Oreochromis niloticus: one gene and its partners. The protein of the gene in region 3 interacts with the protein of the main gene of each other region in a biochemical or structural test. Links are inferred from orthologs where the notes say so. Each region holds a gene or a part of one and is shown on either strand. Other genes may lie near its edges. The genes, in order: mapk8ip2, mitogen-activated protein kinase kinase kinase 11, map2k7 and growth arrest and DNA damage-inducible protein GADD45 beta.

Region 1 (7,745 bases), on a different chromosome or scaffold from region 3:
TGAGGATGTTATCCATCCGCAAAGGGGAACTTATAACCAATAATAATATTCTGGTGCTCCGGGGAGAGAGGTGCTGCCTCTCATGGATTTTGTTGCCTACTGGAAACAGTGTTAGGGTTATGCAAGGCAGATTACCAGACCACACCATCACACAACTGGTGGCTTCACTCATGAATCAGTCACACACAGATGCACAGAGAAAGAGACAACACACACACACACATACACACACCAAAGCTGTGACACAATCAGACATTTACAGAAAAACTCTCTTTCTACATCCCTTCTTACTGATATTTCATAATCAAAAAGTGAAGAGCCAACCAAAAATAAACACAAACCACTTGTTCCCTCTCAAATGTATAAAAAAAACTACCTGAAAACAACAGAAACAAACCGATTAGCCTCCACAAAGGAGTAATGCAATAAACTACTCCTCACATGATTCCTCTAATATAATTAAGATTCGTTAGATTTGGCTGTAGTGCCGTGAATTTAAAACATTAATACCATGGCCAGGGCTTGGCTGAGTGAGCTGACTAAGGTCACCGGTAGTCATGCAAACGATCTGGTCATATTGATCTGACATGATCCAGCAATGCAGTTGAAATCCCACATGAGTACATGCTGTGGATATAAAATCTACCAGGACTGGTTTGCTAATGTGATTGCCTCTATAGGATATGAGCCATGTTGGAGGCAGAAGCAGGCATGTTGAAATGAAATGTGTTTATTTCATACAAATTAGAGCACAGGGCTTATGCTATCCTGATAAATACGCCAGATACAGACTTTTAGTGTAGTAGTTTATCCAGCTTCTCTCTGCTACTCTGTGCTAGTAATTTATAGTAGCTGTATGTTGTAGTGGTGCAACACAGTTAGAAATATCAGTGTTTTCTTTATTATTCCTGCTATGTTTGGTGACACAGAGTAAAGCCTTACAGCAGCCCCTGAAGGTTATATGTCATAACATATGAAAATCATATGAAAAGTTGAAATAGAGACAGGTTGTTATTATTATTAATCATTCCAGGGAAAAGATACTGCAAGTAGTGTAAGAACTTTGGCCTTTGGAATTGTACATACATCAATATATAGGATTTACTGTTGATGAATTTATGAACTATGAGGTTAGAATTCAAATAATCAGCTGTAAGAGCCAGTGGGGTCTATTATCAACAAATCCAAAGTATTGTGTTAAATTATGCTTCAGGAACTTAAAGATGTAAAATGGTTGACTATACAGATTAGAGCTGTGCCCTCTGGTTATAGATTAAATTGCAAATATATATCCACGCTGAGAAAAAATACAACACTGAAGCCCACGTTATTGCCAACTTATCAAGAAGTCAAAGGACTGTGAACAGGACACCTTCATTCCTGCAAACTTCCTTGAATATAGCACTAAAAATACATCCAGGACCATGAAAGGCTGTACAAATTATGTAAATTAGGAGAAAATCAAAATGAATATTTTTCTTTATTGTATATTTTATGATTTAAGAATGTCTACAATTAATAAGAAGCTTGATTTTTTTTAATCCAGAACTGTATTATTTTTATTTTTTATTTTTTATTTTTTGCATTTCTTGTCTAAAGCTTAGAAAAGATACCAGGTTGGTTTACTTGTTTAATACTTGTAAGTTATGGTGCTACTTTAACTCTGGTCTTTGTTAGTGATGTCTTGCAAGTCTGTTTATGCTGATCACATTGTTATAACACATTAATATTATTTGTTATGTTACACTGTTACCAATACACATCCAGGATCAAAAGTAGGTTTACTGCACTCTCTTCACACAGTTCATTAAATTTACTACAAGATGTCTCAGTGTTTCTCATCTTACCAGGCCAATTACACTACAACAAGCCAAACTGTATATTTTAAACAACAACAACACCCTTGTAGAGAGCACTGATTTAACGCTACGTGTGAAATAAGTTGCCTCTGCAAGAGTAACCCACCCACAAATATGCTTCTACAAGAAGAAACCGGGGGTGATTTGTCATGCTGATTGTCGCAGAGGTCACATTAGAGGCGTTTGACACAACATCAATATCAGTAGGACTTCCGTAAATCATTGTTCAGCAACGTGCCCTTGCCTGGGTTGGACTCAACAGGGCGTGGGCCTCACACAGAGAATGCGCAAAGCGGGTGACTGTCGCCACAGCTAGAGATCAGTCATATGCAATATGTTTTACAATTTGCCATTCTTTGCAATTTTCAGAAATTACTAAAACGCGAGTCTTTTTTTCCCTCTTCACCAAGTCGTCTCTCCCAAAAACATAAACAACCAGCAATGTTCAGCTGCAGCACCTACATGCGCGCAGTGAGGCAGCAGAAGGCCGAGCAGGTTATTCACAGTATCTATTACAACCTAGGCTGGGGATGTGCGTTTTTACTGCAGTCATCAAAGCAGCACAGACCGATATGCATGGCGCTTTTTCATATCAGCCCAGCGCATCCTCCATCGACCCTTCACTGTCACTTTACATACGAGCTCTTACCTGCATCCAGGAGGAGAGAGAGAATGGAAGGTGGATAGGGAAAACATCTCAGCCCTGTCCGCCATCTTCTTCTACAAATGACTCAGAGCGACTGCAGAAAATCACGGAGGGAGCGCAGTCCATTCACAATTACAGCGCACGGGACGGGACAGTGGACAGAGGTTTCTCTATCTGCGGCCCCACAGATGCCCCCCTGGCCGCAAGCCTTCAATCAGACAAGCCTGCTCAGCACCATGAAATCTGCAGTCAACCATCCACACAGGCAGGATAAGGAGGGGTGTCAAGGCAAATAAGACAAAAAAAAAGAGCTTCAGCGGCAGCGCGCAGTAACACGGAAATCTCTGTGTTCCCCGGTTATGTCCTTGCAAAACATGAAGCGGGCAATTTGTATCCGCAGTCCGTGTTTTTCTCTCCAAATGTCTGCCGCTGTGATGCTGCCCGTGACACACAACAGATACAGGCCAGCAGTGCGGAGACAGGCAGAGACGGAGGAGGAGGGGGTGTGGAGCGGAGACGGTATAACGTCAGTGCTGATACCATATGAACAGGCTGTGCTGAGTGGATGTAGTCAGAGCCTAGAGGGTCACACGGAGCAAAACAGATAAAACAGCGGCCATAAAGTTGTTTAGATGACATTATAGTGAGTAAAATTTGCAGGCAAAGCAAACGTGCTTTTCGCGCTAACGTCCGTGTGGACCAGCCTTGGGGAGATCCGAGGATTCCCCGGGAAAAGGCAGGGACTTCAACTTTAAATCCTCGTTTTGTAACCGTGCCTTAGAATGGACTGGAGGACGCTTTTTAATTGCAAGGTCTACAAGGCCTGTATACTGTAACGTGTCCCATTTGGTGGCCTCTGCAGTGTGGGTGAACACATGAAATCTAATTATATGAATTTTAATTTCCGGTCCATAACTTGCCGATTTCCATCGTGACCCAAATAAAAATGAGTTTAATAAAACACAGAGAACATCCATAAAACCTATAGGCACACTTTGAAGTGTTTGGCTACTTATACTGCTCTATGATCAGACCTCCCGTGTAGCTGTTCACTGCATGTGGTGCTGAAAATCTCTCTCGCTAAACTGAAGTGTAGCATTTATACCACACGGTGACAGCAAAAGCTCACTGCTGAATGAAAACCGGACTTACATGGAAGCACAATAAAAGCCATGATTAGAGCCCGGATTTCCGGTTTTTTCGCTCTTTGAGGTGTAGATGCTGACTCTGATAATTGACTGAAATGGCATCTGATTGTGCTGATTGTGAATGGCTTCTTCCTTCATCCACTTATGATTTCTGAGTGATATGATATTGATTTGTTTTACCTTTTTGTTTGTTTGTTTTACCCTAAAAGCATGCATATTGATAGAATTACAACAAGAAGACAGATGACTATATTGTCTAACATGTGCTATTGAGTAATTTTTGCTCAACCCCTGATTGCTCTTTTAACTCATTATACTTGTTATTATATCTATTCAATGTTTCTTTATGAGTAGATTTTATTTTTTGTTTCAATTTACAATAGATTCAATGCACAGCTTAAGAAAGTTCTGAATGAATTACACAATAAATTCAAACAGTTGCATTTTTATTTCCATTACATGTGAATAGTTCCAATCCATGGACAGACAAGCTCCATATAAAACATTTGTAATTACAGAGAGGGGGCATGTAAAAGGAGTTACGTTTCAGTGAAGGGCCTTTTCATTCCTCAATGTCTTATTATATTGTTGTGAGCTATGAATAAGAAGAATGAAATTAACATATGTTCAGGCATGAACCACAGATGAAGTTCATTTTAATGGCCGTGTTTATAGCAGGAAATTGTTTTAAGCTATCGTCTTCTCTTCAATGGAGATGGGACCCAAGGTGACTTCTCCTTCCCATTCCAAAACTGAGAAAAGAAAGAAGAATTGTTGCAGTATGCATCATTATGTTTTTTTTTACTTAAAAAATAGAAAGCATAAAACAATTACTAATCTTTTTGTAGGACCAAATGAAATGAAACTTTCCCTCTACTAAAATGTTGCAATACTTGTATTTTTTTAAAACACATACCTTCCTGCTGAGACACGTCCCGTGTCCTCCTAAACCAAGGGACCTTAGTACCCAAGTTTGTAGAACCCGGCGTTCCACCACCAGTATTTCCAGTTCCCGTTCCTGTATTTCCAGTTCCTGTTCCTGTATTTCCAGTTCCCGTGCCTGTAGTCCCTGTTCCTGTATTTCCCGTGCCTGTATTACCAAATCCACCTCCAGTACTGTCACTTATAATTCCAGTATTAGTTTGTCCAGACTCACAGGAGCCACAAGCACCATCAAATCCACTAGCTTCCTTCCACCTTGGGAGAAATGGAAATGTAAGCAGTACCGCCACATCAGTTCTGGTCTAATGATCATTGATACATGTGTACAAAGGTAGACTCACCCACGGAAGTAGGAACAAGCTCTGTGGTTACTGTCAATGGCTTGGGCAACAGATGTTGCTCTCAAGTTGCAGGTAATGTACAGCTTTAAGAACAGGAGAGAATTTATGTTATTATTCTATGTAATAGTTCTACATTAGTAATGTTGTTGAAAATATAACACAGTGCACTCAGTAACTCAAATTTGGAATTGCATACTTTTCCACTGTTAGCACTCAGGAATTTGAAGGATTCAAGCTGGAACTGAAGCTTGTTCTCTGCAGTGCGATCCAGGAACCTCGAGACAGATCCAGTGAGCCTACCGTCAATCATACACCTGCACACAAGAAAACAATGTGAAATAACCAAAGTAACATAGGCGTCTGTGATAATCAGGTCCTAATATACAAAACAACTTCAATAATCTCATCAAACTGCTTTACCCATGCTCTATGAATGCATATCTTGGGCTAGAAGATGCATCGGCTGAAAGGGTAGCTACACATTTGTCCACATAAACACGGAGCTGCACATGGTGGTACTGCATGACAGAGACCTCAAAATTAATCTCGTCACCCAGGAAATACTGGTTGCTTGGCCTCTCATTTTTCCAGTCATCTGTGAAACAAGACATGACAATTTTATAATTCAAACAAGTATGCATTTTGAATCAAGGTCGCATACGATATAAAATACACTGAGAAACTGATCTTAAACGCACCAGTCATGAGTGTCAGGGTGAAGTATAGAAACTCTTGTGCCATCTTAGCGGCAGAGAATGGCACCCAGAGGGGTTCAAGAGCGAGACTGCTTACATTGTGCTTTCTAAGTGACAGGACATGTTTTACAGGAATGCAAAAAACTAAAGCAAGAATAACATATCATTGAAATATCCAGATTACATTTGGTAAATTCTAGATTACTAAAAATATTTAGGTCGTACTATAGAGCACATTAAATAGCAATATAATTCTGTTGTTTTGATGTCTTTATCTTAACAAATCTTCCCAACTGTTTACGTACCTTTGGTAGTGACATTCCACAACTACAGCTGCATTGTTGGTCCTAATCACAGGAGAACCACCCACAGGCTGGGGGTTGTAGTTCATTGTGAAGGTGTAGATGAAGGAATCTCCAGTCATCTATCAAACATATATATACAAAACAAGTCAAATTATACATAAACCTGTTCCCAGCACTTGAATTAAATTTCACAATAATGTAATATTTATTCTCCATACTCTTAATGTGCTCCCACAATTCTGCAGCTGAGCTTGATAAATCAGCACTTGAGCTGCCGTATCCTCTCCGACAACAGCGCATGATCCCAGGGTAAGGTCAGCCGAATTTATCAGCTGGCCAACTCCAAAGAAATCCTTTTTGACTTCCACATGAACAATGTCCTCCCTGCAGTCAACAGCAACAGTTGCAGCAGAAACTGGATATCTCAGCTGGAACGGCACGTCAGCCTTGGGTTTGGGCTTAGGATCTTCAGGGTATGTCCACGTGAGTGGTTTTTCAAATATTTGTTTTTGTTGTTGGAGGTCTGGAGGCCACACCTTAGGCACAAAAGGTGGTGAGGTACGGCTCACACCCTGAGCATCACAGAAACCAAGCAAGGCCAGTGCCACAAGGCAAACAGTGGCACACTTCAGCAGCATGGTTTCACAACAACAAGTGCCCACAGTAGTTCACTAGGTGCTGTAAGGGAGTTGGAAATGTCCACCTGCTTTTATAACACAGTCAACTTGTTTACTTTCGCTACATTCCCACCCCTTCAGCTGACCATTCCCCTCAGGGTTGATGAGTGCAAATTTTAGCCAGTGGAATGACTGCAGTCACTATCCAGCAATTATGCAAATGTACTGTTTATAAGATTTGGGGAAACCTGCAGTCAGCTGAGACTGAAGAAGTCACTTGGATGAGTGACGAAACGTTTCTCCCACAAAACGCTACGTCCAGATGAACAGATTCAACTTTTGGAGATATCCAGCAACTGTTTTATACATCTGGATTCAGATTCTTCAGTTTCTTAGTCATAAAATGTGACTGTGGAGCACACAGGCAAATCTTCTTCAAGCATGTTTTCTTCAAACAAGTGAGAAAAGATATTCAAACAGGTGACAAAGATGCAGCAGAAAAACAGGACACAAAAGGTTATGTTGACCCTGGTTTAGGTGCCCCTAACATAGTAGATCAAAATCAATATTTTGCCAAAGCACCTTGTGTAAAGCTCTGCAGATCAATATGGCTCTAATCCGTAACAGATTAACCACCAACCACAAAATGAAAGAAGCGGATATGAGAAAGAATTCATTAACAACCAGCTGCAGTACTCTGGACAGCTTCACAGGTATCGATGAAAGTACGATAAATGCAGGGGGAAAAGCCTTTCTCAGGATCTCGCAAAAGGTTTTATGGGATCTTGCAAAAGTACATTGTTTTGTGTGGGTGGGGGGGGATAAAAGAACGTGTAAAAGAAGTGTCTCTGTTTTTATGTGATTAATGAGTGCAGCTGTACAGACAACAGTGACAGAATGTTTAATTGTGGAAACACAAGTTTCTCTTGTGGCTCAGATAAATAAATAATAGTATCTGTACAATTTACACAATACTTCTTCTCTGGTTTAATTTGTTTATACCACTTTTTAATTTACTCAGAATTGCCTCTCAAGATGCTATTATTACAAATTCATGACTTTATTGGGTTTTAACGTAAAATAAACAGTTTAGTCGTATGAAGAGTGACTTAAAAAACAAATGAATAAAAATGCATCCTAAACAAGAGCTTGACTCTGAGGAGGTTAAGAAACTGTATATTCTGTTTGAGAT
Region 2 (7,947 bases), on a different chromosome or scaffold from region 3:
GTCACAGGAATGATAATAACAGAGAGCAAGCTGCTGCACAATTCAGCTGGCTCTCTGTTTGGGTTAAAGCTGCCGTTAGAGCTGAGAAAAGAGCTTCTTATTCTACAGAAAAAAAAGGGGGAGACAGAAAGCTTTATCAGTGATACATCTCCCTGCATTGTTGCTTTAATGACAAGGTCCAACGCCTACGTGTCTGCCACAAGGCCCCGAAAACACTGACGCAAGACCTTTGATGCAAGAAGAGGACAGCGTTAAAGTCCAAAGTGTGAGATATAACGGTGCCGAGAAGTAAAACTCGTCCACTGCATTCTTTCACAGGAAAAACTTGGTATTCTTGTCCTAGGAGCAGTATGCAAACACACACAAGCAGGCACACAAAGATGACAAACAAAAGTAAATTGACCCATGCAGTGAAGGGACCTGGAGTTATGCTGTGAGGGAATTTTGCTGGCAAGGTTAGGGTGCACATCCCCCACAAATCAATACAAAGTTGTAATGAGAGCGCCCCACCAAACTAAATATAGGAGCATGTTTTGGAAGAGTGGTGTGTTCAATCCATTCAGTGGAGCGCTGCAGACTGGTTTGGCACACACTGGCCCTGCATTTCCCTAAGACACTTTATGTTAATTTTTCCTGGTATGCGTCAGCCGTCTATAGGTCTGGCCTACCTTATATAGCCCAGGAGTCACATGATGTCAAAGTCTAGATAAATCTGAATTTCTTATCAATAATGATACAGAATCAGAATGAGAGACGGACTAATCTGGCAAACTGAATGATAGCTTAAAAGGCCCTCTTTGTTCTAGATAAAGCTTTGTAAACACTGAGAGATTCCTTTAGGAGCTTTACAGTACAGCCATGTTCATTAGAGCCATGAGGCTTTCCTAAGCAGAAGGCCCTGTAATTATATCCAAACCTTTGATTTCGTTGAACTAACCCCCAACAGACAGACTGAAGCTATGCTGATCTGCGCTGCGGGCTTGAAGGACTTACTGTTGTTGGACTTGAGATCCCGGTGGATGACAGGGACGATGGCTTCACTGTGCAGATACAACATCCCTCTGGCTATCTGCACAGCCCAGTTGACCAGGACGTGCGGTGGTATTCGACGGCCTGCCAGAGCACGGCTCAGCGGCCCACCTGAGGCGTACTCCATGATGAGACACAGGTTGGGCTCCTGCAGGCACACGCCCTTCAGGGCGATGATGTTGGGGTGGGTGAGCATGGAGAACAGACGGGCCTCCTGCCTCACGTTCTGCGCTGTCACGCTGATGTCCTCGTCCGGATCTTGGCGGGCGGCCTTCACCGCCACCAGCGCTCCTCTCCATGTACCACGATACACTTTTCCAAATCCCCCAACCCCGATGACCTCCTCCAGGCTCAACTCCCGGAAATCTACCTCTTCTGGTTCAAACTCACCCACCACAGCCGGAGCAAGCTCATCCACCACAGCACTGCCCGGAAGTTTTCCATATCCACTCGGCTTGAAGGAACCGTAGTTGGATGGGAAGATACCCACCTTGTTGTTGACCTTTCCCGCCCACCAGCCCTCATCCCCTGATATCTCCGAGTCCAGAGAGAGGACTTCCACCAGATCGCCTTTACGTAAGGTGAGCTCATCTTTACAGGATGCCTCATAGTCAAATAAGGCTGTCCACACAGGGTTGGTGAAGTTCCCTTTTTGCGATTGTTCCAAATTTTTCCAGTTGGACAGCGGGCCACGGCTGAATATATTCTTCAGTGGCTCCATGGAGCCTCAAGCAGATGTTTTGACTGGATCTGATTTAGCACCCCAAGGGTTTGAAAATAAAGTACAAAGGAGTACTTTATTGCGCCTCGCTCCCTTTCCTGTCTTTCTTGTTGGCTCATCAGGGACTAATGAAATGTGTTCAAAAGTTGGACCAACAAGTGGGCTAGAGGAGAGGAGTCAAAGACAACAGAAGCGCAAGTGTCTTTTATTCATCACCGCATTAAACTCGTCTCTCCATCGGATGAATCACTAGAGATTTCTTTTGTTTGATTAAGGCTAAGTGTTTCAAAGCTCAGAAAGACAGCACTGCTTCCACTGAAATTCTCTCTGTTCAAGTGATGTGGTGTGTGGTTTTCCAACACATGGTTTAAGCACAATATCATTTCACCGGCCTGTATTTAAGAGCCTCTCGAATCACCTCATTATGGCTAATTTAGCTCTTCTTCCCCCTCATTCAAAACTGCCACCTGTTGAGTCCTGACTTTGTTTTGTTTTTTTTTAGAGAGGGAAAGTTTAAGAACACGAATAAAAACTACTCAGCTTACTGTGAAACACTCCCAGGTACTGCTATTGCAACTGGTAATAAAGGTTCCCACCACACTTAACTGTCCATTTTAAGTTTTTATGTATTTTTAGCCATTAAGTGCAGTGGCCACCACAAGCAGGAAGCGCTGAGAAGCGGAGAAGAATAGCAGGAAAGGAGCATTCAGTCCAGCCAACCAGTGTTTTACGACAAGTTTCAGCGCTGTCCAGTCCGCATTAAGCCCAAAACTCCAATAACGGCGTCTCACCGCAACTTTGCGGCACTTCCGCAGGAAATCCCGCATCCCATTGCGCCAAAGTATCCATGCTCACGGTCTTATGGGAAGCACACAAATAGCCAGCCTTTACCATAACATAAAGCAAACTTGGGGACCGCTGACTTTGTAACAGGAAGAGCTCTCCAAACCTGCTCGGCTCTACTTTCCTCAGAGAAACGCAGTAAAAACAAATCCCGTTAGTTCCTGGTGGGAGTTCAGCGCGTGGCCTGGTCCGTCTCGAGTCCCCCGTTCTTACAGTCGGTATCCAAAGAGCGGAACAACTCCATCATAACTTCATATCACACTTGTCTTCCTCGGGCAGAGCTCACTCGCCAGGTTCTCGAACCACTTCTACGTCTGCGCTTACGGTCAGTGGAGAGGGTGGGGTTTCAAAACTTTTTTCTCTCCCAACAGGAAGAGTCAGATGACAGAGCGTCGTCAAGTTACGCGGAACGGCGTAACGCGTTCTCTTGAAACTTTCAAAATAAAACTTGTGGGCGCCTTTACGTGGTTGCGTTATAACTTAGAAGTTGGAAGTGTTTAGCTACCAAGCTGTGCATCACAATGCGCTATAATACTAACTTATATCTACATTTACTGTTACTAGAACTACTGCTATATATACTAAGTAGTATAATAATAGTACTACTATTACTACTACTACTACTACTACTATTAGTATTATTATTATTATTGTTATTGTTGTTGTTGTTGTTGTTAATAATCTTGCTTTCCTATGCAGTTAAAACCCTATACGAAGCCCTGTGTAATGTAATTTCAAGTTAGTATATATTATATACCTAATAAAAGTACCCAGATCTGAACGGGATACTATTTTGCAGCAGTAACCTGAGTTAAGAAATAATTATTTTGACATGTGAGCACAGGTAAAAGAATAAAGTTAAAGTGGTTTGTGGCCTCCTTTAAAAACTATAGTTTGTAGTTCTGATACTTTTATTTTAAAAGACTTCCCCAGTTCCCGTGTTTCGAAGTTAGCTAACTTCTTGTTAGCTAACTTCACCAAATTAAGCAGCTACTTACAAAACAACAAAGAGGAAGTTTTTGCCTACACTTACATTTTTTTAATCTAGCCCGATTAAAATGAGTTTTGACGAATTGACAATAATAGTCATTTAATGATGTGATTCTGAAATACTGGGTAAAAGAGACACATCTTTTAACCGCAGATGTTGTTTTGATTTTACGGTACAGTTTAATCTGACTTTTATTTTGAAAGAACCTGGGGAAAAATAAACTCATAAATGCTGCACTATAGTTATAAGTATGGTAGAATATTTAGTAATCCTGGTGATGATGTCACCTGGTGATGGAAGTCCATTAGTGCAAAATAAAGATTAATTTATGCAGTGAAAAGTTCAGATTGTGAGAACTACATAAATACAGTATTTCATAATTGGATTTTTTTTACATAAAATTTTGGATTTTTATTTTATTTTTATATTTTATAATTTAATTCAATATTACATGGAATATTATCTAGTGTTATACTAGAACAAATTTCTATGTAAATGTGGCTGTATTTCCTAAACAGTTCATGCAATGCTTTTGTTAAACCTTTTAAATTAAAGATGAAAGTCTGTATTTTAATCACATGTTGATTGTTTGATTTTAAATCCACCAAGGTGATGTACAGAGGCAAAACTACGAAAATTGTCCACATACTTGGAATACTTGTATGTCACCTGGGAATCAGGAACTGGCCCTGGTCACTGAACACTTTACCAGATATTTTTTCAAGGATGTGTGCGGCAGTCAGCATGTGTTTTGTGGATTTGGAGGAAAATTTTTCATTCCTCAAAGTGTCCATTGCATTGCTGAAAATAAGTCAGACCATTCTTTGGTGTTGGACTCTGCCAGGCTGTCCTTTGTCACTGTTTGTGTTCATAATTTCTATGGACAAAATTTCTAGCGTTCATGAGAAACTGCAGAAGGGGAAGGTTCAGTGGTCTCAGGATCTTGTTTCTGCTGCTGCTGATGTCGTTTCTTGGCTTCATCAAACCATAACCTCCCGTTTGCACTGGGACAGTTTACAGCAGCACGTGGATGAGAATTAGCACCTTTGAGTCTTGGGTCAAGGCTTTCAGCCACTCTGGGTCGAGGACTTGTTGCTGCCCCAAGTAAAGGAATTTTAAGTATCAGTAAGCAGAGAGGGAGGGTGGCATCCACAACCATCCATCTGCTGTTGTGAAGAGAGAGCTGGGTGATAAAAATGAAGCTCATGATTGACTGGTCCATCTACGTTCCCAACCATGTTTTTTAACATGACAAAAACACCCACACAGGGCGCACACCATGGTTTTGTAGTCACCTAATATTTAAAAGTTATTTAAAAATAGCCTTCAGTAAAGACTGGAGTATATTTTAGTAAGTGACTGCTGGTGTTCCCACTGATGAAGGTGCATTCTATCCATACAAACAAAAAGACTTTATCTTGGAAAAGGTCAGGGAATTCCTCTTGGCCATATTTTCCCATGTTTGTAAGTCAGTGCCTTCTCGGGAGGTGACGGGAATCAGAGGGTCACCTCTGTCCCCGCCGGCTCCTGTGTGGAAACAGCGTGCTTCCTTCTGTTAGCCCTTTGATGGCTCCCCTCCCCTCCCTCCTTCCCTGCACCACGGCTGCCGTTTGTTTGAACACCAACCTCCTAAAGTCAACTACCGACACCCCATCCCACCTTCCTCCCTCTTTACCCCACACACACACACACACACACACACTGAGCAAAACCCCTCCCTCCTCACAGTGCGCTGAGTCAACGCTTGTGCAGGAAGGATGCAGTTGTTTTCGTGGTCCCAGCTCTGCACTGCTTGGTCGGCTGTGTTTGGGGGTGGGTGTAAGAGAGGCGGCTGCGTTTACACGACAAAGGGGACTGTTTAAAAAAAGTAAAATAGAGGCAGGAGGAAGAGGAAAGGGGGCTGGATGAACAGTGTGCCAGCTACTCTGAACACAACGCAAGACCACGATAACAATCACCTCTTTCACTTTTCCACAAACCTGTACTGTCTTGCACTTTTATCTGATTAAATACCAGAAGGAGACTGCAAAGCTGTGTCTTTCAGGCTGCTTGAGTCACCGGTCGGCAGATGCACAGCATCCAAGGTAAACTGCACATTAGAAAATGCAGAGAATTCCAAAGCGCAAGGAGTTGGAACTACCAAGGATGTACTCCACACCCATGAAGGTAAAAAATTACAGTGGAGGGCTTTTGAAATATTAGGAAGTGTACTTTGGTTTTGCCTTTAAGCCGATATTGAATATGGAAAGTATTTCAAGCTCTCAATTCCAATGCAGAAATAAAACCAATACAAGGACCATTTTAATTGAAATATGAACTTTATTTTACATACAAAATAAAAAGAATGTTAAAAGTTTACAATACAGTGCCAACTGTCTGTTTGCGACCATTTCATACTGAGACTGACACATAAACGGGTGCCCCAACTCTGCTTCCAATCAACACATTTAAAAGAATCTAAAAAGGGGAGGAAAACAGTCAGGATAAAGGAGCAAGTTACTCAAAATTGGAGGAGAGGCCAGAACAGAAATGAGAGAGGACAATAGAGGAAAAAAGATTTTAAAAACAAACATATGGTCCAAGAGTCACAATATACTTCAGATGGGCAATTTAGGGGTATTAAATGGTCGTGTAAAGTAATAATAATAATAACAAGATCCAATTGCCAAAGTAACAGACCTCTGCCAGGGTCATGAACAACAAATAATCAATAACTCATTAACCTGCTGATATGATTGACTTCAGAGCTGTGGAGGTTTACAGTTCTCTTGATAAAAACGCGACTTAAAAATAGAAACTCATTTGGGGGGGGAGAAAAAAAAAAGTTGTAGCTAGCTAACGTATAGTAAAAAATACACCTGCTTCCTTATTTATGTTACAGCCGGAGAATTGGGCTGCAAGTCGTGACAAAGCCGGGAAGTACAGCTCACAGCTTAAAAGCTGTATATCACAGCCAATCTATAACATAGTCATAACACTTCAGCAGTGAGACACCAACCTCTCCGATGATCACCTTCCAAATACCGTGCTGTTGCCTTGAAAGAAAGCTTCAACAACTACTATGTACGGATTCTTTCAGCCACCCTGAGGATCTGAGTGACAACGACTGATATGTTCAGGTCTACAACAGGAAACTGAGGAAAAAAAGTTCCCAAAAGAAAAGAGAAAGAAAAGAAAAAGCTGCGAGGCCCAAGCTTGTCGTGTCTGCAAAAACGGTGACGACCGCCATTTTTCCTAGTCAAAAATCGAGGGACTGACTTGTTAAAAAAGATCCTCGTTGGATTCTTCTCTACAATAAAATAAAAGTTTCTTTAAAAAAAAAAAAAAGAAGAAAAAGAAAATTAAAACACATAATGTACAGGCTTTGTGTCTCTCGCGGTGGTGGTGGCTCTTATAGCTGGCCGTCAAGGGCGTTTTGGTCAGCAGGCTGCAATGAAGAGTCTCTCTCTCTCCTCTGCTTACAGCAGCTGCCAGAAAAACAACTTAAGAATTTGAAAAATAACATTGAGTGTGTGTGTGTGTTAGAAGAGAATGAGAGAGTGTGTGAGTGTAGCGCTGAGAACGAGCTAAGAGTCATAATCTTCATCGTCGTCGTCGTCCCCGTTCTTGTGCGGTGCAGGGACTGTGGGAGGTGGAGCCATGCTCATCATGGAGGCGTGTGGGGCGAAGGCCACGGTGCCCGGGGGTTGCGTCGGAGCCATGTTGCCCATTGGGACCATGTTGGCCATGTGCATATACTGAGGGGGAGCGTTGGAGCTGTGGGGGCACAGGAACAGGTGTTAACCTCTGAGGAGTCATGTCAAACCAAGTGCATTTTATGCACAAGCTACCTTTTAAATTTAAACATTATTAGTCAAATTAACTGTGCACTAAAAATAATGGACTATTTTTAGAGTTAAATATCCAAAATGAATCTTGATATTTACAGGGAACTCCAGGTACAACTTACTCAACTTGAGGCCAGCAAAGGTTTGGCTATTGATTCTAGTAGGAAAAGAGCGCCCTCTTCCTGTTTTTGGCATAATGTCAGCCACCAGATTTCTCTCTTAACAGGCTGCAGTTACCAGTCATATAGAAATATGCCTTTATGTGCTCTTAATGTGAGACTATATAACTTTTTGAGAGAGAAAAAAAGTTTGCTTGTCTGGAGATTTTCTTACAAATGAAAAGACAAATAGCAGCACCTTAATGGGAGGCACAACACGAAAACAGAGCTGAAAGATTATGTAAAGTAAATTGAGTGTTTATTTCTTGAGATAAGACAGCTTTGAACTCGATTTGCTGCTGATGTAATTACCAACCAATTAGTGCTTCTTCAGACAAGTCTTAAAATGTCATCCCAGTCAAGTGAAAAACCTAGCCT
Region 3 (7,836 bases):
AAAACACGTTTCTTTGTATGAAGTCCAGGAAAAGCTTCCAAACAAGTGTCAGACTTAACAATGATAACAATGGTTAGAGAAAAAAAAGCATCGACTTGTTGGATCACAGTATTATCACCATTATCCAATATTTAGATTGTATGATCGGTGCATCCTTATTGAGTAGGAAATAAAACTGGATGTTTATATGCTGGACTGCTGATGGTAATCCATGTCTTTCACATAAGTTACTTTTATGAGTTATTCAAAGTCTATTCTAGTCTGCCAAGACAAAACAACGATATAACCCCATACTAGACGGTGGTCAGATTGAACACTAGCTGGCATCTGTAAATACAGTATCATATTTCTCACCATAGCCCTATCCATTCAACCTCTAAATTAAACGGGATGTTAAGAGAAACGTGGAGAAAGTCGTGGTATCGAGGTGTTTTTTAGGCTTTACTTGCAGGGCCAGAACAAAGAAAACTAATGAGAATGTAAGGACCAGCCAAAGTTATTCTTGTCTTATAGGGCTAAAGAAGTGTGCATTTATATTAAAAACAAAAACAAGAAAGAGAGAAGATGAAGGAGGAGGGAGTGGATGATGCAATGGAGGACAAAGGTGTTGGTAAGGTGGGGGGAGTGCAGTGGCAGAGAGAGCGATGGATTGAATGATACCTGCACGCTGGGAAGGGGCTGGAGCAGGACTGAGCTGGATCACGATGACTAGACGGAGGAAAGAAAATATACACACACACGCACATTACTGCAGTGTTCTACTGAGACAATCGCACATGTTTGCACACACACACACAGTCAAAAATCACAAAAACCCCTCAAAAGCAAACAAACAAACAAACAAAAACCTCACCCCACCACACACACATCACTCGCTCATTTCTTCACAACATAACTTGAGTGGTTTAAATTTAAACTGAACTTTTTCTTATTGTCTATTAATCTCATGAAGACTAAAATCAATTACACTGCACATTAATGAATCATAGTTTCTCTCATATTTTCTGTGGCACTCTTTTCCCAGGATTCAAAATAAGGCCACGTATTGAAGGTGCAAGAAAAAGTGGGTCAGTAGCTTACTGTGTCACTTCATATGAAACCAATTAAATCTGAAAAAAGCTCCATCCGGCCTCCTCATAATCAGCTGTTTTTTCTTATACAGTAACTTTAGTGTGTTTACTGAAGCCATGCAAAAGTTGACTGTCATTCAGTAAATACTCTGAGGTACAGGCCCTTAAGTACACATTGGTGGGTGATTTCACCATTTTCGCCTAAACCGGAAAACCGCAGTATTTAAACACTGGAGGAATCATATTTCAATATTTTGTCCAAATATTAGACTAGTGCATCTTCATTCTGTAAAAAAGAACATTTTATCTCCAGTCAGTATGGAGTGGGGATAAAACTTATCTTGTTGTAGTTTTTAAAGAGTTATTGTTGTTATTCAGTCAATTTATACTTGTGACGCTATCAAGAAAATAAAGTGGATTAAAAAGCACAGAGGGCCTGTCGTGTTGGAAAAGTGTCATGATGGGCAAGTTTTGCATGGCTTCATTAGACATTAATGACGCCAAAGTTAAAACAAGTGATTCTAATGGAGTCAATCTGGGAGGCAATCAGACTTTTCATGTAATAACACAAGGTGAAAAAAGCCAATTTTGCACCTTTTTTGGCAATAAATCAAGCTTTAATCTCGCAGAAATGACCTTTATCACCAGGATTTGAATCTCCGGGTGCACCTTTTTAGCAGGTTGTAGGCTTCAAATGAGATTTCAACAATAAGAAAAAACTTCGGATTTAACCCTCTCTTTGTGACAACATAATCAGCTTCATAAAAAACAATTCAAATAACAGGAGGAAAACGAAGGTTTGTGGTCTCGAACCTAATGAACGGACAACAAGATCTGCAGAAAAAAAAATGATAAGGGGTTCAGATTGCTAACACTTTGAAAGTCTGCTGGTAAGAATGTAAAGATAATGAAGAGCTTTGGTGTGTAAACCACAGCAGAGGCAGGCTGCAGACCTCCCTGCTGCTTGACTTTTCTCCTGAAAGGGCCCCAACATCACTGCTAACACCAGCTTCTGTGACACAGAGTTTGTGTCCACTAACACCCAAAGAGCGCTTCATTCAATATATGTGCGACAAATCTCAATTTTCACAAGATATGTTACGCCGCACCAGTGTTTGCCACAACAGCTAAGCCGTAACCTACGTAAAGTTAGCGTATCCAGGGCTAGCGTTATTTAGCCTGCTCAAATTAGCATGTTTCTTCAAGATCAAAATGGCAACTAAAATAAAGTCTATGGCAAAAATCACGATCAAATGTACTGGTTACAGGTTGTAAGAGTGTATAGATGCTCTGCGGCTGACTGGCAGGACCACAGATTTTCATGCGCAAACTGAAACTGCATTAAATTTTCTGACGCTGGGCCCCGCCACAGACTATCAGAGAGGCTGCTAGCCTGCTAGCTTAGCATGTTTGACAGGACAGAATCAAAACAGATTCAGGGACACGTCTACCGGCAAGATGTTTCGTAACATCGCTTCGGTTTGTACACTTTTCCTTTACGTTACTCACTACAGAAAATGTCCCACTTATTTAATTATTAATTTGGCAGTAAAATCAGCGGACCAGCCTGAGTCTGTGTTTGTTTATGTAGCTAGCCTGTTAGCATGAAGGTAGCAGCAGCATAACAGCCCCGACTCCTTCCCTCCGCTCCTCTCCTCTCCCCCCGCTCTCCGGCCCCGCAGCTCCGATCTTTCCCCGTGCTATTGTGGCCGTTACCGACACCCCGGTCCTCCCCTGTGGACACTCACTCGGCCTCGGTCGTGACCGCTGTGGACTCATGTCGATGTTGAGGTCGATTCTCCGGCGAGCTTCTTCATTCTCCTGCTTTAGTTTCTCCTCGATTCGCGACAGCCTCTGTTCCAGCGACGACATCTTGAAAAATTGAGCACCATGTAGTTCCCAGCAGAGCTCTCGACTCCCCTCTCTGGCAGGCAGGCCAGCAGCACACTGACTGACTGACTGACACACACATATACACACACATATACACACACGCTGCAGTACACACGCTCATTCTTTTTTCCCATAGATTCTTGGTGCCCACCTAAAGAAAATCACATTTTATACCCTAATACTGTTAAAAACAAATATTCTTGGTAGCAATTACCAATTAATTACCCATTTTCAGGCTTGGAAAAAAACCCCTGTTACTGGGCAGCAAGTAGAAATCAGAGTTTGTTTGCATTTTAGGACGCGCACAAAATGCACGTTTAGGTGTTAGTTTCAGTACAATTTGTGATATAAGGATAGCAGCAAGACTGAAAGGGAAGGTTTAAAACTGGTAGTCTGACCTACCAGACTGGGTTGGAGTTGAATATGCTCAGATTTTCAGGGAAATAAAGTCAGCACATGAATATTTAAGAGGAAAAAAAGAGACATTTCTTATGATTAAAGTTGTAATGAAAGTGGGCTGCTGCTGAACAGGTAGATTACACCAGGATTTTATAGTATGTACAACATCCTTATTGTTACAGCTGCTGTTCTCAGTACTTCCACCCCTCGATGCAAGATATGAACATCAATCTAATCTAATATGAAGTGTTCAGAGTATTTTAGATATAAAAACCACACAAAAAGATTCCACACATGTTATTCATGTTATAATTTCCCTGCAGGTAGTGGACATTTACTGAGATAATTTGAAGTGAAATGATTTATTTATTATTACTAGAATTTACTGTTTACATGGTGCTGAGAGTACATGAGGATAAGATGCAGATCGGCACTTATCATTGCGGATCCAGGAACTCCTGTTTCTAGGAAAGGCCGACCATTAAGGACCAGTTCTGATGTTTTTCCATTAGTGATGCTTTCTTCTTTAGCAGCCAGTCAGAAGTCAGGGAGACTCCAGGAGTTGGTGCAAATACAGCGAATCCAGTTAAAGTGATATGTTTGTTCACTAGTCCTGTGATAAGGTTAAAACTGCCACAAGGAGTCTTTTTTCTTCTAAAATTTTGACTCACATATTAAAACAGATGCTCATTACAGAGCAGAAATACTTAGCTTGCTACTTGATTCATTTTTCTCGGATGTAATTTCACGAGAAGAAGAAATGACAGATAATTTGACTTTGTCCATCAGGAGAATAAACTACTTATCCTCTAATTTCATTTTAGTCCTGCTCTGGCAGGTTTGAATGAATGTACTGATAAATGTTGATACAGAATCTGTGATAATGGGCTATATACGCTCACCAGCCATTTTATTGGGTACACCTTGCTAATACCATTTCAGAACTGTCTTAAAATATAATCCACGGCATTAAACCAGCAGCAGCCTGAACCACTGATAACAGTCAGGATAGATCCATGCTTTTATGTTCTTAATGCTGACTTCAGCTCGTATGGCCAGAGTGGTCTCCTGCTGCTGTAGCCCATCTGCTTTAATGTTCAACACGTTGCACGTTTAGAGATGCTCTTCTACATACTTTGTATTTAGCAAGTGGTTCTTTTTTTCCTGACCTCACTCCTCTTACAACAATAAGACATTTTCACCCAGAAAACCGCCAATCACTGGATATTTCCTCTGTTTTGGACTATTCTCTAAATTGCAGTGACGGATGTGCACATTCTGCTTCGAGAGGTCTAGAGGTGCGTAAGTGCACGGAGTTGCTGCCATGTGATTGGCTGATTAGATGTTTGAGTTAATGAGCAGTAAAACAGGCGTATCTAATAAAGTGGCCGTTGAGTATTCATTCAATCACTGCAGCAGGTGAGTAGCCAACGCATTACTGTTATTTTTATTTAAATGAATTTGAGATGCCCCTTTCCCCCGTCCCACGATGACAATAAAGAGACGATAATATTCACTCACGGTTTTCTTTATAAAATACGTCATCTCATACTCACATGGTTCTGTACTGTCGTACACAAGACAGGTAAAATCCACACCACCGCACATACATCTTAACAACAAACCACTGCTGTTGTGTGTTACACAGGTTTTCACTGTTGGCTCATCGTTTTCCTACAGATATCATCAAAGGTATTACCAAAGGTCTACGCCAGCTCTCGCCTCTAATTGGAGCTCTCGCCTCTCTAATTGGTTCTACTGTGGAAAAGCAGCTCATGTTTGTTTTGCGTATGGCGCCCGGCAGAATTTCCACAAGTACTTAGACATCAGCAAGTTTCGGAAACAGCCACAGCGACCGCGGCAGCCAGAGCGTAACCTGTCAGGGCTTAAGCTCCGAAAACAGACACTAAAACAACTTTTACAGCCAGTGAGGTTAAAGATTTAATCGCCTCGGAGGGAAATCACTTACTTCATGTTCACAAATCTCTGGTAGCACTCAGGTGACTGGATGAACGTGTCTCCAAACCCATAAAGAGCAGTTTGTTACTTGTACATCACAGTTTAGTGTTCAGATTTTTTCTTTTGGAATAATAAAAATGTTTTCCACAAAGCTTTTATGCTGACGGTTATGTGTGTGTGTGTGTGTGTGTGTGTGTGTGCTACACATTTATATCAAATTCTTCCTAAAACCCAAACATTCAACTAAAAAGGACGAGTCAACTGCTCTTGTAAAATCCGAGCAGCACAAGTTTAAAAAGTAGTTGGTGGACATCCAAAGGAAGGTCCACTGCAGTGAAGCAGGACAGTGGTTCTTTACCCATTAGTTAACTAATAATACACCTAAAAGCAGTCAAAAGACTGATGGTTATCAGCTCTGAGTGTCTTTTTTTTCCCTCTTCCAAAAACATAGAGGAGTTTCTGCAGCACACTGTATCCCTCCTCGCCCTGCTGCTGTACACAAAGGGCCACAAAGTAAAACAAAATGCTTTTTTTCTGTGGAACAAATACAAGTATAAACGTAAGGCATTGGTATGAGAGGCCACTGAGCAACCCCTAAACAGTCAAAAGTACAAAAATACAGCAAGCTCCGCCTCTTACAGCTGAACTGGCGACTGCCGAGATGCCTAAGAAGAAGGGAGGAGACTTTTTAAAGTCTGCAAGCTACAAAACCCACTGCAGTTTTGTACAGTGACTGGAAAGGGGGGCCTTTGTTTGTGATAGAACATTATAACCCCAACTAATATCTGTCCAGGCTTTCATTTGCTCAGTCCATGATCTTTAAAACTCTGCAGACACACGAAACACAGTCTCTTCGTCTTCAGTTTCATTCATTCACAGTGTAACAAGAAGCGACAGACGAGCGCGGACAGTCAGCTAGAGACATATCTCTCTGGTCTGGCTGAAACTGTTGCGAAGTCGTCGAAATCCAACGTTCCTCGAGATCTGTTGGCTTCGGGTCCACTAGCAGAGGTCAGAGACGTAGTCAAAGTCCCGGAAACTGTCCTGGTCTTTGCGGGAGAGCGAACGGGGCTCACGTGGAGGCGTGAGCGTCGGAGGTTCTGTGGTGAACTCCTCGTCAAAGTTACTGACGTCTTCTTTGCCGCCGATGGACGGGACGAAGGGAGGGGGCAACTTCTTCTGCAGCAGCGCCTCCCAGTCCATGCTCTGGAGGGAGAGACGGAGAAAAGGAGAAGGTGGGTCTATTATGCAAGGGAGCACACAGCAATGATGGAGGATATAAAGGATCAGGGCAAGAATTTATACACAAGGTAAAAACTTTTGACAAATAGCTGCATAGTATAGAAACTAGAGCCAACCAGCAACTGTAAAATGTCCTTGATGAATAAACCACAAAGGAGGGTTATGCAGAGCCAAGAATAAAAGCAAGAAGAGCAATTAAAACTGCAATTGAAAAGGCTTCGAAACAACCACCGTAACAGTCTGGCTGTAAACACCCGAGAAAAACCTCTTCCACCTCTCAGTGTTTGCTAACGAATCTCCATCCTGCGTTCTCATCTGTACCTTCAGATATCAGCTTTATTTTACTTAGTCTAAAACACAATGCTAACATTAAAATGGTAAATGGCCTGTATTTATATAGCGCTTTTCTAGTCCCTAGGGACCCCAAAGCGCTTTACATATCCAGTCATTCACACACCCATTCACACACTGGTGATGGCAAGCTACGTTGTAGCCACAGCCACCCTGGGGCGCACTGACAGAGGCGAGGCTGCCGGACACTGGCGCCACCAGGCCCTCTGACCACCACCAGTAGGCAACGGGTGAAGTGTCTTGCCCAAGGACACAACGACCGAGACTGTCCAAGCTGGGGCTCGAACCTGCAACCTTCCGATTACAAGGCGAACTCCCAACTCTTGAGCCACGATCGCCCCGAATCTGAAGGTACAGATGAGAACGCAGGATGGAGATTCGTTAGCAAACACTGAGAGGTGGAAGAGGTTTTTCTCGGGTGTTTACAGCCAGATGCTAACATGCTAACATTAATACATCACTAAAGCTTTCAGGTATCTGAGAGCTGATACTGCTGCTGAAAACAGACAATTTACCTAAATATTAAGAACAGGACATTCATTAGCAGAAGCTAAACTGAGACAGGCTCAGTTTGCACCCCCAACAAGTTGCCTAGGTAGCTCTAAGTCTACTTACTTTGAAAAATGGCTGCTTCTTCACCTCCTCTGCATCCTTCTCACCAGATCCCAATCTTCTCTCTGGGTTCCTCCTTAACAGCTGCACACAGACACACGAGAATAAGAAATGACGAGTGGATATAACAGCGAAGCATCAACTGTCTGACTGTGAGTAAGTGAGGATGCCGGACTGATTCAGTGTTTCACGTGTAAGTGCAGCATTTGTCACAAACAGTTTGTGTGTATGAGCGAACGCGCATGTGTGTGTGTGTGTGTGTGTGTGTGTGTGTGTGTGTTTGCTTTACCCTCCTCATGATGCCAATAGC
Region 4 (6,917 bases), on a different chromosome or scaffold from region 3:
TGCTGTATAAATATAATAAATGAAACTGAGTTTCATTTAATATAGCTGAATCAGTTCTCTGATGACAAGATCATGATACCATAGATGTCCTCTGCATGTTTTTTAGAACAGTAGGACGGGCTCAGAATAGAGAACTGAACTTTGTGCAAAATTAGTGGAATGTCCTTTAAAGAGTCCCCTTCACAGGGCCAGGGATAGCTCATAATTTGAGGTCCATGCAGCAGCCCAAGTACAAAAATTATATGAATCAAACTGGACCCAGAACGATTTGTCTTTCTACAAATATAGGACCTTGAACAGAACTTGGTAAGTTTCCTGTGGAACTCATGGGGCCAGAATTTGTTGATGGGCCCAACACTGCATGCTACTATAGTTTTCCTAGAAGCTAATTCTAGATTCTGTGACAGATTGTCCTCCTATGCGTTAGAAATAACACAAGACCCCTTAGAGATAGTAAAAAAAAAAACCACACACATACATACACATTTCTCTTAGATGAACCACACAAAAATCGATTATATTTCCATCAAAACTTTATTGACCAAACAGAATAAGACACAATGTGGCTTCACTTCTCACTTGTGGCTATTCTATTACATCAAGCAGACTCATATTTAATGTATTTAGATACATCAGTGTGTAAAATCACATCATGACAAAAGTTCCTGTGCAGCAAACAGGTAAGCAGAACACCTGCCACACCTGCAGCGCAGGTAGTCTAGAGCTTTACGTGCAGCTCTTCAGTTCGTTCATGTGACATCCATTTGCGTCACTCAAGTCCTGGTATTTCATCTTCACTTCCCCCTCTGCAGCTCCATGACTGAGACTTCCTGCTCAGTCTGGTCCAGCTTCCACAGCCACTACCAGTACCGACGTTTCACGTGCTCCACGAGGTCACAACGACCTCCCCCATCGGGCTCCCGGTTTGGGTCGGTCCGGCACAGCACAACAACTCAAACCGCGTTACTTCTGCGCAGGTTTGATTGTTTTCACTCTTTCTCACCGCTCCCCGGCGGTCTGATTCGGTTTGGCTTGGCCCGGTTCCAGTCAACGGTCCTGCAGCTCCAGGCAGGGCACCCACTGATTGCTGCATCGGCTCTCCTCACAGAAGCTGCCGACGTCTTGCAGGGCTTGGCACTGCAGAGGCTGCACTGGAGGGTTCTGCAAAACACGGTGGAGACGGACGGTTAGACTCTCGGAAACACTTTTTTTAAACTTACAACAGTATAATATCATGAACTTGTATCATTTCTCGAGTAGCTCAAAGGAAGTTCACACTTACAGTGACCAGAATGCAGTGCAGATCCCGGGGTTCGTTGCTGTTGCTGTCCTCGGTGTCCTCCTTTAGCAGCTGAGCCAGCCGCCTCATGCCTGACACCCGCAGGATGTTGATGTCGTTGTCGCAGCAGAAAGCCTGCAACAGCGTGAAATGGATCTGCAGCGCTATGTCGTCTTCATCCTCCTCATCAGTTGCGAGGATGCACAGTACAACGCTGTCTGGGTCTCTGCATGTGGGACAGAAGGTGAAAGACCCGGTTAATGTCAGCGTCATTACATATTTCTGATATCAAAAGCTTTGGCGTGGTTAATTAAGGTGAGCAAAATCAAACTTATACTTACACATTCATGAGTTTGGCGGACTCGTAGACTCCAACCGTGAGACAATCCTGCTGCTGAGCAGCGACCAGTAGCTCCTCCAGAGCTTGACTCACCGTCTCCATCCTGCAGAGAAGCGGAGGCGGTTAGAAATGTGCGAACGACACGACTAAACTGTGGCAAACAACTCTAAAGTCTACATATAAACTCCGGCGACACACTAAGCATGCAGATGCAACCTTTAAAGTACAAGCCGGCATTATAAACTCAACTAGAACGCGATCTGTAATGTCAGATCAAATGTGTCGGTGCGTAATTGTGCATCACACACAGCCGAAACTTACTTTTTTTCGGTGCTGTTTGATCCAACGACCTCTTCCAAAGTCATGTTGAAGTCAGTAAAATAATCCACAAGATCCAGGATAAGAAGAAATATCCACAGCGCGGAGATGCGGCTGTACTATGAAATTCCTGATACAACGTCCAAACACAGTGGTATTCCAGATCGTACAAAGGTCCTTTCAGAGTCCGTTAACGGTCAAACTGAGTAACAAGTCCGATTACTGCGAGTCCGTGAGTAGAAAGAAACTCTGCCTCTGTCAGCCGAAACTCTCTGTTATATTACTCCTTCCCGACCGTAGGCGTGGCCACGCCCAGTCTCTCGTTCGTTCATTGGTTTGCCGCTATGAATACATCCCCCGTTCTCTGCGCCCATTTGCTGAGCCCCAGAAGACGCTGGTGATCCCACGTTGGTGGTTTCGGAGAATCCCCCGCTCTCTCCCTCCTTTTCTTCCTACGCTTCTTGCGCCGCTCTCTCCCTCTCTCTCGGTTTGTTTACCGGCAGCTTTTCTTTCTGAGTGGAGGAATTTCCAGATCTCTGTCCCCCCCCCTCCCTCGTCCCCACTGGTAGAAGCTGGCCGAATAAAAGAAAGCTTCACCGTGGCAATGCTCTCGCATCGTGTTCGTGCACAAACCCCCCAAATACACCTGCACACCCGCGGAGACGTACATGAAATTCAAATGTATTTCAAATTATGTTATAAAAAGGAAGCTGGACCAGCTGACCAGCCCCGTGTGCGAGCACGCGCTGGGCGGACATTGTGTAACGGCGTTGTGCAAGAGCAAGGTTATAAGAAATGGGAAAAGGCCCTGTCTGATAAGCACGAGGCGAAATTCACGAGAATCTCAGATGACAGTGATGTTTCTCTTTTATATCACACATAAATTTATCTTTTTGTTTTCTTGCAAACCATTTGAGGCGCTATTGCAGCTGCAGAGCACGTTTTGTTCTGGAAGCTTCAGCTCAGCACCACTACCTCCAACAGGGATAAAAATAATCCCTATATATAGGAGCAGAGCTGTTTATCTGCTGAAGCCTGCAACAGCAGCGTGCAGAACAGAAGTATGTTACAACAACATTCAAAACTATTATTATAACCTTCATATTTCACATTCATGAATGCAGGTTCCCTTTTTCTGTCACATGCATTTTTAACATCACACGCAGAGCTGTCACACGTCTGATCGGTGGCCCTGTGTGATCAGGTCCACCTCACCGAGCCTGATATGAACTGTCTGCCCATTAAAACCAGGTCTCAGACTCCCTCCAGCGGCTCCCTAATGCATCTGCTGTCAGCGGCGAAAGCCCCAGAGAAGGCTTGTTGGAACAGCACCCTGCAACAACCGTTTGGTCACGTGCAGAGCAAGAGCGAGTCCCGGTCTTTGGAAAATATTGGGAATTCCTAAAGGGGAGGTTTAGTGAAAAACATTTTTAGGGGGTTTGATGTTTTGTTTTGTTTTTCGGGGACTTCCTGATTCTGAATTTCCACGAAAATAAAATTGAAAATGAAACTATTTACAGGCTTCACTTTACCATGTGCAGCAATTTATTAGAAATATATCAAAATCGGCCTGTAATCTGTGCAAACATAAAAGACGTTGTGTGCATAGGTAGAAGGGAAATTTGGCAGCCACGGCTAAACAGTTTGAAATCTATTTATTAGGAACATCCACAAATATATAGGGTTATCTAATAAACAATGAAATATTGTGTATTGTCGGTTACATTGTAAGCACTTAACTGATTTAGCACTTGTCCACTGAAATAGCAGAAAATCTGTTGGAGTTGCTGTATGAACAGATTTTTCTGGTGTTACTGCGCCACCTAGTGGTCCGATCTAAGGATTCACACTTTACGTGTATAAATAATTATGTCATGGTTTTGTTATATTTTATAGTGTTTTCTTACAGTATTTTTTTTTTACAGAAATAGATACAACTTAAATACATTAAAGTATTATATTTATTGCTATATTTAGATATTCATGGAAGAAAACAGTATAAAATGAAAGAAAGCAATAAAATAGATTTACAAGCAGTAACTAACAAATTATAGAATGTGAGTTTAATATAAAATCTCTTTTTCTGTTTCATTTTTTCTGAGCTTCAGTTGAGATCCAGTGACCGTGAAGGCCATAACATATGATTTGTATGAGGGCTCACCAATAACCTTATAACAGGTATGCACTTTATTCAATTCAATTCAATTTTATTTATATAGCACCAAATCACAACAACAGTGGTCTCAAGGTGCTTTATATTGTACCGTAGATCGTACAATAATAGATACAGAGAAAAACCCAACAATCATATGACCCCCTATGAGCAAGCACTTTGGCGACAGTGGGAAGGAAAAACTCCCTTTTAACAGGAAGAAACCTCCAGCAGAACCAGGCTCAGGGAGGGGCGGGGCCATCTGCTGCGACCGGTTGGGGTGAGAGAAGGAAGACAGGATAAAGACATGCTGTGGAAGAGAGACAGAGATTAATAACAGATATGATTCGATGCAGAGAGGTCTGTTAACACATAGTGAGTGAGAAAGGTGACTGGAAAGGAAAAACTCAATGCATCATGGGAATCCCCAGCAGCCTACGTTTATTGCAGCATAACTAAGGGAGGATTCAGGGTCACCTGGTCCAGCCCTAACTATATGCTTTAGCAAAAAGGAAAGTTTGAAGCCTAATCTTGAAAGTAGAGATAGTGTCTGTCTCCCGAATCCAAACTGGAAGCTGGTTCCACAGAAGAGGGGCCTGAAAACTGAAGGCTCTGCCTCCCATTCTACTTTTAAATACTCTAGGAACAACAAGTAGGCCTGCAGTGTGAGAGCGAAGTGCTCTAATAGGGTGATATGGTACTACAAGGTCATTAAGATAAGATGGGGCCTGATTATTTAAGACCTTGTATGTGAGGAGCAGGATTTTGAATTCTGGATTTAACAGGAAGCCAATGAAGGGAAGCCAAAACAGGAGAAATATGCTCTCTCTTTCTAGTCCCTGTCAGTACCCTTGCTGCAGCATTTTGGATCAGCTGAAGGCTTTTCAGGGAGTTTTTAGCACATCCTGATAATAATGAATTACAGTAGTCCAGCCTGGAAGTAATAAATGCATGAACTAGTTTTTCAGCGTCACTCTGAGACAGGATATTTCTAATTTTAGAGATGTTGCGCAAATGGAAGAAAGCAGTCTTACATATTTGTTTAATATGTGCATTGAAGGACATGTCCTGGTCAAAAATGACTCCAAGGTTCCTCACAGTGTTACTGGAGGCCAAGGTAATGCCATCCAGAGTAAGAATCTGCTTAGATACCATATTTCTAAGATTTTCAGGGCCGAGTACAATAACCTCAGTTTGATCTGAATTAAGAAGCAGAAAGTTAGCGGCCATCCAGGTCTTTATGTCTTTAAGACATTCCTGCAGTTTAACTAATTGCTGTGTGTTACCTGGCTTCATGGATAGATAGAGCTGCGTGTCATCAGCATAGCAGTGAAAATGTATGCTATGTCTTCTAATGATGTTGCCTAGGGGAAGCATGTATAATGTAAATAGAATTGGTCCTAGCACTGAACCCTGTGGAACACCATAATTGACCTTAGTGTCTGAAGAGGACTCTCCATTTACATGTACAAACTGGAGTCTATTAGATAGATATGATACAAACCACTGCAGTGCAGTACCTGTAATACCTACAGCATGCTCTAATCGCTCTAATAGGATATTATGGTCGACAGTATCGAACGCTGCACTGAGGTCTAGCAGGACAAGCACAGAGATGAGTCCACTGTCAGAGGCCATAAGAAGATCATTTGTAACCTTCACTAAAGCTGTTTCTGTGCTGTGATGAGCTCTGAAACCTGACTGAAACTCTTCAAATAAGCCATTCCTCTGCAGATGATCTGTTAGCTGTTTGACAACTACTCTTTCAAGGATGTTTGATATGAAAGGAAGGTTGGAGATTGGCCTATAATTAGCTAAGACAGCTGGGTCTAGAGATGCTTTTTGAGTAAAGGTTTAACTACAGCCAGCTTGAAGGCCTGTGGTACATAGCCGATTATTAGAGATAGGTTGATCATATTTAAGATTGAAGCATTAATTAATGGCAGGACTTCTTTGAGCAGTTTTGTAGGAATGGGGTCTAAAAGACACGTTGATGGTTTGGAGGAAGTAATTATTGAAGTTAACTCAGAAAGATCAATTGGAGAAAAAGAGTCTAAATGAACATCAATGGTACTGAAAGTAGCTGTAGATAATATTACATCTGTGGGATGATTATTGGTAATTTTTTCTCTAATGATAAAAATTTTATTTGTGAAGAAGTTCATGAAGTCCTTACTAGTTAACGTTAAAGGGATGGTTGGCTCAGTAGAGCTCTGACTGTTTGTCAGCCTGGCTACAGTGCTGAAGAGAAACCTGGGGTTGTTCTTATTTTCTTCAATCAGTGACGAATAGTAAGATGTTCTGGCTTTGCGGAGGGCTTTCTTATAAAGCAGCAAACTATTTCTCCAGGCTAAATGATGATCCTCTAAATTTGTGACACGCCATTTCCTCTCCAGTTTACGAGTTATCTGCTTTAGGCTACGTGTTTGAGAATTATACCACGGAGTCAGGTACTTCTGATTTGAGGCCTTAGTTTTCACAGGAGCTACAGTATCCAGAGTCGTACGTAGTGAGGAGGTAAAATTATTAACAAGATAATCGACCTCTGTTGGAGTAGCGTTCAGATAGCTGCTCTGCTCTATGTTGGTACAGGGCATTGAAGATGATAACAGTGGGTGGATTATATTCTTAAACTTAGGTACAGCACTTTCAGAAAGACATCTACTGTGATAAAGTCTACTCTCCACTGCTGTGTAATCAATTATTGTAAATGTAAATGTTATCAGGAAATGATCAGACAGCAGAGGGTTTTCAGGAAACACTGTTAAATGTTCAGTTTCTATGCCATATGTTAAAACAAGATCTAGAGTGTGATTAAAGTGGTGGGT

The links.
Region 1: the proteins of map2k7 (region 3) and mapk8ip2 form a complex in vitro, tested with the Homo sapiens proteins (2 studies listed by BioGRID). The link is inferred for Oreochromis niloticus from reciprocal best matches to the Homo sapiens genes MAP2K7 and MAPK8IP2.
Region 2: of the proteins of map2k7 (region 3) and mitogen-activated protein kinase kinase kinase 11, one has a biochemical effect on the other in vitro, tested with the Homo sapiens proteins (2 studies listed by BioGRID). The link is inferred for Oreochromis niloticus from reciprocal best matches to the Homo sapiens genes MAP2K7 and MAP3K11.
Region 4: the proteins of map2k7 (region 3) and growth arrest and DNA damage-inducible protein GADD45 beta form a complex in vitro, tested with the Homo sapiens proteins (2 studies listed by BioGRID and IntAct). The link is inferred for Oreochromis niloticus from reciprocal best matches to the Homo sapiens genes MAP2K7 and GADD45B.

What each region holds. Positions count from the first base shown.
Region 1 is NC_031972.2:55,888,998-55,896,742, forward strand, and holds the start of mapk8ip2 (C-Jun-amino-terminal kinase-interacting protein 2), read right to left. Parts: upstream 3,010-7,745; 5' UTR 2,574-3,009; coding exon 2,509-2,573; intron 1-2,508. Other genes in the region: zona pellucida sperm-binding protein 3, read right to left, coding at 4,341-4,405, 4,570-4,850, 4,937-5,019, 5,133-5,250, 5,357-5,531, 5,635-5,738, 5,937-6,055, 6,155-6,574. UniProt on the Homo sapiens protein: The JNK-interacting protein (JIP) group of scaffold proteins selectively mediates JNK signaling by aggregating specific components of the MAPK cascade to form a functional JNK signaling module.
Region 2 is NC_031967.2:4,888,557-4,896,503, reverse strand, and holds the start of mitogen-activated protein kinase kinase kinase 11, read right to left. Parts: upstream 3,001-7,947; 5' UTR 1,751-3,000; coding exon 994-1,750; intron 1-993. Other genes in the region: drap1 (dr1-associated corepressor), read right to left, coding at 7,151-7,340. UniProt on the Homo sapiens protein: Activates the JUN N-terminal pathway. Required for serum-stimulated cell proliferation and for mitogen and cytokine activation of MAPK14 (p38), MAPK3 (ERK) and MAPK8 (JNK1) through phosphorylation and activation of MAP2K4/MKK4 and MAP2K7/MKK7.
Region 3 is NC_031971.2:26,956,125-26,963,960, reverse strand, and holds the start of map2k7 (dual specificity mitogen-activated protein kinase kinase 7), read right to left. Parts: upstream 3,010-7,836; 5' UTR 2,943-3,009; coding exon 2,819-2,942; intron 709-2,818; coding exon 661-708; intron 1-660. Other genes in the region: pkn1a (serine/threonine-protein kinase N1), read right to left, coding at 6,324-6,527, 7,530-7,610, 7,816-7,836. UniProt on the Homo sapiens protein: Dual specificity protein kinase which acts as an essential component of the MAP kinase signal transduction pathway. Essential component of the stress-activated protein kinase/c-Jun N-terminal kinase (SAP/JNK) signaling pathway.
Region 4 is NC_031980.2:37,373,164-37,380,080, forward strand, and holds growth arrest and DNA damage-inducible protein GADD45 beta, read right to left. Parts: upstream 2,187-6,917; 5' UTR 1,985-2,186; coding exon 1,941-1,984; intron 1,723-1,940; coding exon 1,621-1,722; intron 1,506-1,620; coding exon 1,283-1,505; intron 1,162-1,282; coding exon 1,048-1,161; 3' UTR 516-1,047; downstream 1-515.